Sus scrofa: one gene and its partners. The protein of the gene in region 1 interacts with the protein of each later gene in a pairwise test. Links are inferred from orthologs where the notes say so. Each region holds a gene or a part of one and is shown in the gene's direction. Other genes may lie near its edges.

Evidence for each region. The genes of interacting proteins can lie anywhere in the genome.
Region 2: the proteins of FATE1 (region 1) and CD79A interact in binary tests that used the Homo sapiens proteins (3 or more experiments, as listed by UniProt). The two-hybrid records come from large-scale screens. The link is inferred for Sus scrofa from reciprocal best matches to the Homo sapiens genes FATE1 and CD79A.
Region 3: the proteins of FATE1 (region 1) and SMIM14 interact in binary tests that used the Homo sapiens proteins (3 or more experiments, as listed by UniProt). The two-hybrid records come from large-scale screens. The link is inferred for Sus scrofa from reciprocal best matches to the Homo sapiens genes FATE1 and SMIM14.

Annotation. Positions count from the first base shown.
Region 1 is NC_010461.5:123,111,357-123,113,800, forward strand, and holds the end of FATE1 (fetal and adult testis-expressed transcript protein homolog), read left to right. Parts: intron 1-204; coding exon 205-287; intron 288-539; coding exon 540-618; intron 619-1,310; coding exon 1,311-1,442; 3' UTR 1,443-1,822; downstream 1,823-2,444. UniProt on the Homo sapiens protein: Involved in the regulation of endoplasmic reticulum (ER)-mitochondria coupling. Negatively regulates the ER-mitochondria distance and Ca(2+) transfer from ER to mitochondria possibly implicating it in the regulation of apoptosis.
Region 2 is NC_010448.4:49,996,471-50,000,632, reverse strand, and holds the start of CD79A (B-cell antigen receptor complex-associated protein alpha chain precursor), read left to right. Parts: upstream 1-1,338; coding exon 1,339-1,414; intron 1,415-2,736; coding exon 2,737-3,030; intron 3,031-3,287; coding exon 3,288-3,406; intron 3,407-4,162. UniProt on the Homo sapiens protein: Required in cooperation with CD79B for initiation of the signal transduction cascade activated by binding of antigen to the B-cell antigen receptor complex (BCR) which leads to internalization of the complex, trafficking to late endosomes and antigen presentation.
Region 3 is NC_010450.4:30,837,593-30,841,750, reverse strand, and holds the start of SMIM14 (small integral membrane protein 14), read left to right. Parts: upstream 1-1,334; 5' UTR 1,335-1,592; intron 1,593-4,158.

The DNA of each region.
Region 1 (2,444 bases):
AGGGCAGGGACACCGTCACTGCTCTTCTTTCATCATAGCCTGGGTGGCCAAGAGCTCTTGAGGAGCGTGGTCCATGCGGGGTGTGGCCGGCGGCCACCTCGTGGGGTTCCCAAGCACTTCCAGTGGGTCCTGGACAGAGTGCGGGGCAACTGCTCCGCTGGGCCCTCTGTCCAGGCTGCTCTGCCTGACCGTTCCTTTCTCTAGGGGCCCCAGCTGCCACCAAAGAAAGCGTCCCAAGAACCAAACCAGGAGGGCGGCTTCCAAGGCATGGGGTTCCTTTACGAGCGGTAAGAAGGGTCCCAGGGACAAGGCTGGGCCACAGGGGCTGGCAGGCAGGCTGGCCAGGGGGGAGCGTGAGCAGCTGGCCGTGCCAGCGGGGCTCGGGCTCCGTTGCCTCCTGGCCCCTGGCTTGCTTGGGGCCCCTGCGACTGGGCCGCTCCCAGTCTTCAGGCCCCAGGACCTGCTTACCAGGGGGGGAAGGACCCGATCGATGGGGGTCTCCCAGGAGCTCTGACTCTCACTCTTGTCTTTTTTCCCAGCAACCTGGGGGCAGACGTGATCGCTGAGATTGGCCTGGAGGAGCTAAACGGGCTGGAGATGGAAATCATGAGAAGACAGGTGAGCGTCGGATTGCCGGGGAGCCACGCGGAGGGTGGAGGCCGAGGCCCAGTGCCCTGGGGCAGGCGGGGCCTCGACACCCGCCTTGGCGATGCTCAGCCTTGCCAGTCGCATTATCCTCTAGCGGTGGAGGTGACGGTGACATCCAGGTCGCCCTTCCCTCCCCCCAGTCCCCTTGGCTCCCGTATCTATCCTGATGCCCAGCCCCAACCCTGTGTCTCTCCCCGAGATGCTGGAAGGAAGAAGGGGGGGCGTGAGGGGGGGGAAGAGAGGACATGGGGGCACAGGAGAAACTGGTGCTGAAAGAGCCATGCCAAGACATCTGAGTGAGGGGTCACCTTCCTTCAGACCAAGCCCGCGTCTTCTCAGGAAGCGACCCCAACAGGCAGGGGCACGGGCCTGGGGGACAACTTCCCTGGCAGCCCCTCTCTGGCCCCTAAGTGTCACCTCATCCTATGGCCCTCACTCTGCGGTGGCACAGCTGGGATGGGCTGGCTTCTTCCAGACAAGAGGAAGGTCCCCAAAGTGGGGGCGAGGCGGCGGGGCCCACCCTACACCCTGGCCTCAGCTGCCCGGCCTCCTTCTGGTCCAGACCCCCTTCCTGCTCTGAGGTCACACTTCTTCCCCCCGCCGGTGTGCGCAGGCTTCCCCGGAATGGCCTTGCTCACCTGCCAGCTCTGGTCTCTTGGCAGCTGCAAGTGATCACCGGGCGGCTGCGGGCCCTGGAGGACCAGGGCGCCACCTGGCGCCACAGGGAGACCCTCTTCTTCACCATGCTGGTATCCGTCTGCGTTGCCAACCTCTGGCTGTGGCTGCGCCAGTGATGCTTCACGCAGGCCACCTGCACATGGAGCCCTCCCCTCCTCCCCTTCCTTCCCTCGGCCACCCCTGCCGTCTCCTCCCCACCCTTCAGCAGCAGCTGGGAGGTGGAGGAAGGTCCGAGGGGGCTGAGAGGCAGCCCCCGTGGAGGGCAAGGAGGGTGGCATCCAATTGCCTCAGGAACACCAGGGGTAGGTGCTTCCTACCTGCCTGTCAGGGCTCCACGGTGACCGTCTTGGAGCCACATCTTGCCTGGGGGCCCTCGGTGTCCCTTCTGTTCCATCCTTGGCAGGGGCTTGGCTGTGTCGTCCCTGTTTTCTTCAATGTCATGCATTGGGCTCTGCACAGAGAATGTTCTTAATAAAAGTTTAGTGATAGCAGCAAACCCTGGTGGCTGAGCTTCTTGCACCCAGGACTCACGTGGGGACAGCCTATCCAGACAAAGACCCTGGTGCCCCTTCCTGCACCATCCTCATCCCTGTGGGGCAGAGTGGGGGGTGCGCCTTGGGGGCAGGCTCTGGCCTGTGGGGAAGCCACTCTGCGGCAGCCTGTCCAGGTCAGGCGATGCAAGGACTCAATCAGAGGAAATGTCCTGGGCAGGACCAGAAATGTTGCCATTTGCTCAGGAGGAAATGGAGTCCCAGGGAAGGGGAACGCAGCCCTGGGCTCATTCAGCAAGACTAAGGCCGGGCTGGGGCTAGGAGGGCTTCTCCTGAGACTGGCTGAGGCTCTGACTCAGCCCTGGAGGTTGCATGGGGGCCCACAAGGAGGGGCTTTGACCCCCCCACCCCCACCCCTCCGCCTCGTGTCACAGCCCTGTAACATGCCCCTCGTGCACGGGGAGGGCAGGGGGGCGTTGCTGGGTAGAGAATTGGGGCTTGGCCTGAGAGGGCAGAAGTGTCACTGCTTGAGTTCTGGCTGCAGGAGGCCTTCAGAAGAGTTCTGCCCTCCCCCTGGGCCCCAGGGATAAACTCACATTTCTCAGGGGGGCAGAGATCCCATCTTTA
Region 2 (4,162 bases), on another chromosome or scaffold:
GATCCTTAACCTCTTGTGGCTCAGAGATGCAGCCCTACAGACAAGCAAAGCTCAGCCTCTTCTGCTGTGTACTACTCCACTGGTTGACCGTACCTCAAGGTATCATCCATTCTCCTGTAAATGGGCTTTTCATCTGTTTCCCAGTTTTTGTGACCAGAAATCTTCCTGCCATGAGTTTTTTCCTAGCTGTCTCCTTATGTGTCAGTGTGTACATGTGTGAGACGGTCCCCTGAACACTCACAAACATCTCAACAACTTTTTATCATTCACCTCCCCCTCACCTTTAGGCCTCATTTCTCTCCCTCTTGACCTAAACTGATGCTCAAAGGAACCTGGGCACACATAAGTGACTAGGAATCCCTGCCCCACCACCAAACTACATAACACTGGGCAAGTGACAGTGATGGTGTCCCCTCCCTGTGATGGCCTCAGTTTCCTCCTCTATAAAAGGGGGATGACCTGCCTTGCCCACCTGTGTAGAGGCTAAAATGAAAGAACACCACACAAGAGCCCACTGGGGTGCATGGGCGTTGGGACCCTCATCTCATGTCACAATACCAGGGAGATTTGTTTTGGCCATGCCCACAAGGCCAGGGCTCAAACCCACACCACAGCAGTGACAGCACTGGATCCTAAACTCACTGCATCACCTCGGAGCGCCACCAAGGAGACATTTTATCCTTATCGCTCAGGTTAAAAATGCCAAGGCAAAAAAAGAAAAAAAAAAAAAAAAAAAAAGCCAAGGCTCTGAAAAGGAAGCTACCACCTAGTCACTGAGCTGGTGGACCTGATGCTTTATTCCTTGGGAGTGTTCAAGGTCACCAACATTTACTGAGCCCCTGCTCCCTGCCAGGCCCTGTGTTCCGTGCTCAGCATGTACAGTCTCTTTAATTAACTCCTCTTTTCCAACCCCAAGAAAACACAGAGGCTCAGAGAGGGGACCAGTTTTGCCCAAGGCCACTGAGGAGCAGAGGCTAAGTTTGGAACCACCCCCTCACCTGAACACAGCAGGCACCCCAAACCCCAGCTGCCTCAGTCTTCCTTTCCAGTGACGAGGTGAAGGGCCTTGAACCAGCCTCTTCCCCCCACCCGAGCAGTCTCCTCTCGGGGGAATTGTGGTGGCCACAGGTGCAGGGAGCGGTTCCTCTCCACTTGTAGCCTGAAGCCTCCTGGCAGGGGCTCCCCGCAGCCTGACAGCCAGCGGCCCAGCAGTGGGGCCAGTGGAGCCCATCTCCGCAGGGCTGGGCAGGAAGTGGGGCGGGGTTTTGAGCTTGACCGAGGTGGGATCTGGTACCCCCGGACTGCTGCAACCCAGACAAACCAACTCACTGGGAGAAGATGCCTGGGGGTCGCCGAGCCCTCCAAACCCCACCTGCCACCATCTTTCTCCTCTTGATCTCCGCAGCTGCCCTGGGTACGTGGTTAAGAGCAGGTGCGGGGGTGGGAGTGGGGGAACTGGGAGGCAGCTGAGAGGGCACAGGCAGAGGGGGTGGGAGAGGAGCTGACAAGAGGAGGGCTGGAAAAGACCCCACAGAAACTGCATCTATCAGCTTAACTGTCCCCAGCAGGCCGACGGGAGGCTGAAGGGAGCTCAGTGAAGTTGAAGGGCATATTTCATGGAGGGAGGCGGGGGCCTGAGATACCTTTGCCACCCTTCATCCCCACAGATCAAAATAAGGAACTAAGGTTGCCTTTGACCCACTGAGCTCCAGAGCTGGGGGCAGGGAGGGACCGTGGGTAGTGCTCAGCTTCAGGAGGAAGAAAAAGCTTTCTCCTTCTCTGCCTTGAATCTCATCCCTTGTCTATGGAGCTGGGTGACCTTCCCCCTTCCCTTCCTGCGCAACGCCGCCAGCTGGGCAGGGCTGTGACCACCCTGTCACACCAAGAGAGGTGGCCAATCACCCCAAGTGACACTGGGACCTAGGACTGGAGTCCATGACCGTGACCCTGAGGTTGCTACCTCTGTCCCCACCTCTTCCTCCTTTCTGTCCTCCTCACCTCTCTCTTTCTCCCGATGAAGGAGGCAGAGCCAGCCATGTGGACTGGCCTGTGGGGGGAGGCTGAAAACTGGGGCTTCCCCAGCAGCCAGCCTGCGCCACCCCAGCTCCCTCCCACCAACCACCTAGCTGAGGCCCTCCCTAACCCCAGCTCAGCCCACCCACTGAACCACCCCTGGCCCCCAGCTTGACATGCGGGGGTGGGCCCAGGGTCACAGGGCAAGGCGGGCCGGCAAACAGGCAGGAAGAAACCCTTTTCCCGGGGTCAGGATTCACCCCCCTGAGCCACTCCTGCCACCCTCGGTCTCCACTGTCCCACTTGCAACATGGGACAATGAGAGAACCGACTTCTCAGGGTTCTGTGACAATTATATGAAATAAATAAATTGCCAAGTGTGGGCCCGAGCTGGGGCTGGGGCTGGGGTGAGAGAGGGAACCAGGAGGGCCCTCAGGAAGAGGCGATGGCCAAACCGATTCTGGAAGGAGCTGCCAGGCCAAGCGCACTTCTAGCACCAAGGCGACCAACTATCCAAGTGCCAGGGAGGGCAGTGGAGCTGAAGCAGAGAGCGGGTATGGAAAGGGCCGAAGGAGATGGCTCTGGAGTGATGAGCGGGGACGGGCCCCGGGGTCCGTCATGCACACAGTCCACACACACATACACAGCCGGGAGCACTACAGCTGCAGGGGCCAGGCTGGGCCTGTGTCAAGGTCCCTGACCATCTGCCTCTCCTCTCCGCAGGCCCTTGTTGCCAGGCCCTGTGGGTGGACTGGGGCCCGCCATCGGTGACGGTGAGTGTGGGGGACAAGGTCAGCCTCCCATGCAGACACAACAGCAACAGCACTAACATCACCTGGTGGCGCGTCCCTCAAGGCAACTCCACGTGGCCCCCGGTCATGGATCTCTCAGAACTGGGCCCCAAGGGCGAGCTGATCATCCAGCAAGTGAACAAGAGCCACAGGGGCATGTACAGGTGCGAAGTCAACGAGGGCCAGAGGATTCAGCGCTCCTGTGGGACCTACCTCCGCGTGCGAGGTGAGTGCCTGGGGGCTGGTTCCAAGGTCCCATCCCTCCACAGCTGGGGACACTGGCTTCCTCACCTGGGAAGGGGGATGGAGCCAGTGCCTGCATCAATCCTTACTGTCAGCATACATAGTGGCCAATTTTCTCACCTGCCAAGTGGGGGCGTCAGTGGTCTTGGCCTTTGAGGGGGGGCTGTGGCTGCTGGGCTGGGAGGCGCGTGGGGGTGGGCGGGAGGTGCCAGGGCTCTAAGCCGCACTCTGTCCTCACAGACCCCCTCCCCAGGCCCTTCCTGGACATGGGGGAGGGGACCAAGAACAACATCATCACAGCTGAGGGGATCATCCTGCTGATCTGTGCCGTGGTGCCTGGGACGCTGCTGCTGTTCAGGGTGAGCCACCTGGGGACCAGCTCCCCCCTGAGCCTCAGGCTCCCCACCAAAACTTGGCAGAATGAAAGCACCCACCTCACAAGGCCTGTGAGGGCTCAAGAATTTAATATAATGAGGGAGTTCCCATTGTGGCTCGGCAGGTTAAGAACCTGACTAGTATCCATGAGGATGCAGGTTTGATCCCTGGCCTCACTCAGTGTGTTAAAGGATCCAGCATTGCTGCAAGCTGTGGCATAGGTTGCAGATGTAGCTCAGATCTGGTGTTGCTGTGGCTGTGGCATCGGCCAGCAGCTGCAGCTCCAATTCAACCCCTAGCTCCAGGAACTTCCATGTGCCACCGGTGCTGCTCAAAAAAATGAAAAAAAAAAAAAAAAAGAATTTAATATAATGAAAGCATTTTCAATGGTGCTGGGCCTGGATGGGCATCCTTGTTCTGTCTTCCCTCAGGGTTGTCCCATGTCCACTCTCCCTTCCACCCAGCAGGGCTGTAGCCTCTAAGTGTAGCCAAGGCTGGGTGATGGGGGCTGGCGTCCTCCCGGAGTCTCTGACCTGCATCAGCCTCTCTTTAGGCCACAGGGCCTCTAGACCTATTTACTAACACTGCCGCTGTTATCCGTGAAGCATGGGCCAAAAGGACACTGGCTTGAACCTAGAGAGACCTGCTACCAATAGGATATGTGGCCCTGGGCATCTCCCTGACCCTCTCTGGTAAAGCACCTCCCCACCCTCATGAGGGTCTGAAAACATTCCCCTTCC
Region 3 (4,158 bases), on another chromosome or scaffold:
CTGATAATTTTGTGATATCCTGTGCCAGTTCGGTTTTGTACCATACTGTTCTCTTAAACGCAGCTGTATTTTCAAACACTTATATGCACATGGATGCATACAAGACTTTCTATTCCACAAATTAAAGTTCCACAGATTAAAGACCCTCTATTACAAGGTCAGCCCATGAACTTCACTAGGGTACTAGAGTCTACTTCAAACCCTCTTAATTTGAGTAAACAGAGTTCAAGACTGCAGAGTAAGGGCCAAGAAGCTTGACTTCTATCTGTTAAGTGTTAATTACCTAGGAAACACTTTCGGTTTTACCAAAAACCTTTCATTTTCTAGAAACCTTTGCCTGCATTCGACGTCCCCTTTAATTAAAAAGCTCTTGCAGATTATAATAATTTGCTGAAGGTGACTCAGCTAGTTGAGATGATTAACCAAATACTGAGATATAAGTCCAGGTTAGCTGAAAAGGTTGACTCAGTGAAGTCTACAGTTTCCTTCAGCTTTCACCTCTCCCACAGGCTAGGCAAATAGGCACCTTTGTGAAATCTTCGTTCGGAACTCACACTTTCATTTTCCTCCTGGTCCTGTTTTAAGGTCTGTCTACTCATGGGACTAAGAAAACAGAGTAGCCCTAAGTTTTGCCAAATTGGGAAATTTCTTGGGCCCCAGTGGTTTAGTGGGGAGACTGAAAAGGCCAGAACTGGAAAGAAGGAAGCACTAATTTGGTTTAAAAAGAAGTGCGGTTCTTACACCACAAATAGTATCCTTATTTCAATCCGTAAAGTCAAAGCAAAAAAGGTTTGAGCTGACTGCCTAACAACAGCGCTCTCCTCCAGGTTCGCCACTATCGCTCCATCCATCATATATTCCTTTTAATACTCCCCTTGAACTGAATTTTAGCCAGCTTTCCGAGTGCAATGTTAGGGAGAGTAAAGGGGGTAAATGCCACGTTTGACATACTTTTGTACATAAGACTAAATCCCTATCTTCAATTTTCACCTGGCCTGAGAGAGCCAAAACAATCTCCACATGTCTCAGCAGACATCAACTTGCGCCAACGCCTACCACTACTCCCGCTAAACACTCCTGCCCAGGAAAGCCATCAGGTTAGGCAAAGGGAGACACACAGCAGAGGACATTGTCCACATCAGACGAAACAGATGCCACGCCGGCTGCTACAGCAGACGTGGGGCTTCGCCCCTCCACCTCATAACGCTCGGCCCCACCCCTCCCAGCCGGAACTGCAACACCCGCGCCTAGCGCCCCCACGAACAGCGCAAAGCTTGTTCCCGCTCCGCCTCTCCGGACCCACTGCGCAGGCGCGGGGCGCGCGCGTGCTCAGTAGGCCTGCCGCTGGGGTCTGGAGGCGCTGCTATCTGTTGCGCCGACGTCCGCGGGAGCCGGCAGATCCGGGTCTCGTGGCTAAGAGTGACGTGGTCAATCGAATCAAAACAGAGGAGGGGAGGAAGCCGGCGGTCAGGAGCAGCGGCAGCAGCGGCGGCCCGAGCAGCCGCAGCGTTCCGGAAGCTCCAGGCGGTCTTTCTGCCGAGGCTTGGTCCCGGCCCCCATCCTCCCCGCCCCGTCGGTTGTTGTCTGGGCGGGTGAGTGTCTCCCCTTTCTCCCACCGCCGTTTGCTGGCCCATCTTCCCCTCACCCCGGTGTTTCTTGGGGGCTCCTCAGGTTTTCGCGGACTGCGGCGGCTGCGGCTAAGCAAAGCTGCTTCTCCGGCTCGGTGGTTCCTCGGCGGGGCCGGCGACTCTGCACCGGGAGAAACCCGCTGCTGCCGAGCCCGCGTCCCCCGACGGAGAGCGAGGCGGAGAGCCTGAAATTTGGCTTTCTCTGCAGGAAACCAGAGTCGGGACTTGGCAGGGAAGTGGACGGTAGCCACGGGTGGTTTTATTTTTAGGGCAAGCAGTGAACTCGGGTGGAGGCGTATAATGGAGTAAAAAAGGAGAGAGAGTCGTAGCTGGAAAGAAAACCCCACAAACCCTGAAATCCACGCTGTATCATTTACCTCTGTTCCTTAGCTTTTGCCGGTTTTGATGAAGTCACTAGGTTGCATTCTTTGTTGTGATTGATGAGACAAGAAAGCTGCCATCCAGAAAGCGGGTGCTTTTGGCCCTTATTGTGTTGTGAATTTCAAGGATTCCTTTTTTCTGTTCAGTAAGTGGAACCAGAGCTGACATAAAGAGGTAGCACCCTTTACTGGAACAGATAAAGTGCGATAAACTGGTTACTGGAGTACCTGAAGTCCTATGTTGCGTTTAAAGCCCGTTTTCCAAAGTGGCTGTTACTGTATGTGTTAACGATTTCAGCCAAGATGATGTTTGTTAGCTGTAGAGAGTCAGGATGTTTTCAGTTGTCCTAGTTTGCAAAATCGAAGATGTGGCCTTAAAAAAATGTCTTGGCTTTGGGTAGAGAAAGTCGGATGAGCTTCATGCAATACCTGTGTTTGAAGAGACCGTCCAGTTTTTGTATTCATGTCAAAAGCTGCTGTGCATACAGTAACTTGGACAGCGTATGACCTTTCAGGTGCAGCCTTGAGACCCTTAGGCATTCTCGCCGTCCAGTCTGTTGAGCTGGCAGAAAGCTTGTGTTCCTTTCCACTCCAGATGACCAGCCAAGCAGATTCCTCTGGTGTAGCCTGCTTCGAGCCCTGCCACCCTCCCCGTCTCCTTTCAAAGCATGAAGGAGACCAGAAAACCAAACCTCCTTTTTGTCCTAACTTAGTTTTAAAAACAGGAACATTCCCCCCCCACCCCCAGCGAACTCATTAATTGAGGTGTTTCTTTAGCAGGTGGCAAAATAGAAAAGCAGAACTATGTGCCAATCCATTGCAACTTAGCAAATTTAGAAAGAGTTCTTAGGAATTTAGACTACTCACTTGAAGGATACCCTTGTAAGTATCCTTGTGAGTACCCTTGTGTGGTCTAGAATGGACCTCTTCATAACAAATTTCTTCCTTCTGTGTGTGCAGCTGAGATCTTTTTTCTTAGTACCAAGGTTGGAATCCTGCTGATTTAAACAAATGAATTATGTTTTCTTGAAGTTCTTTTTTTGACTTTTATGCTAACCTATAACTCAATATTTTGCTTATATGATATAATTTGTGATAATTGGAGGGAGTGTTAATTAAAATAGATAAGTAATAAATCATAAGTAATTCCTGCCATCGAGATCACCAAAATGTCAGCAGTGTTTTATATCTTTCCAGACTTCTTTTTTTGCATTTATGTGTTTTATACAAAAATGGTATCATACCACGTAAGCTTTTCTATAACTTGCTTTTTTACATAGTAGTACTTCATTTTTGAGAAACAAAATTTAAATATTTGCAGATAGGGACTTTTGGACCTTTTAAGGAATATTCGCTATGTGTTTGCTGCACCATAATTGTTAGAATCGTGGTTTTAAAAGATTTCCTCACATGTCTCTGATGATATTGTAAGATTTAATTTAATGGATATTAAATTATTTAATATCCGTTGTGTGACAGAATAAGGCTTTGCTTGTTTAACTCTTGGGAGAGCGGGCATAGAATAGCCTGAGTTGACAATATGGAAATTTAAAAAGTTTTGCTAATTTATTGATTTGATTCAAGTAAAGGTTTAGTTCTATTCAGTAGCTACCATGTGCTTGAAATGCTGACTAGCTGTCCAGGCCTCTGTCCATAAGGTCCTAAAATATTTTACTTTATAAATCACACTTAATCTGCTGTGTTAACATTGAGACTTGGATATATGCCCATTCAGTCCAGTGCTTTATCTGTGGTGCCAGAGGAGAAGGAAGTGTCCCTGTCAATTCAGCTTCAAAGGATAAGTACATTCTATGAAATATCTTAAATACGTACGCTAATAACCCATTTGGGTCCATTAGTCATAAACTTACCTAAAACCCTTAAATTTTTGGAGTTCCCATAATGGCTCAGTGGAAATGAGCCATGGAAATGAATCTAACTAGTAACCATGAGGACACAGGTTGGATCCCTGGCCTCAATCAGTGGGTTAAGGATCTGGCATTGCCATGAGCTGTGGTGTAGGCCTGCAGCTACAGCTCTGATCCAACTCCTAACCAGGGAACCTCCATATGCCACAGGTGCAGCCCTAAAAAGACAAAAAAATAAAACCTTTAAATTTCTGTTTTCTTTTTTAATCTTATGGTTGAACC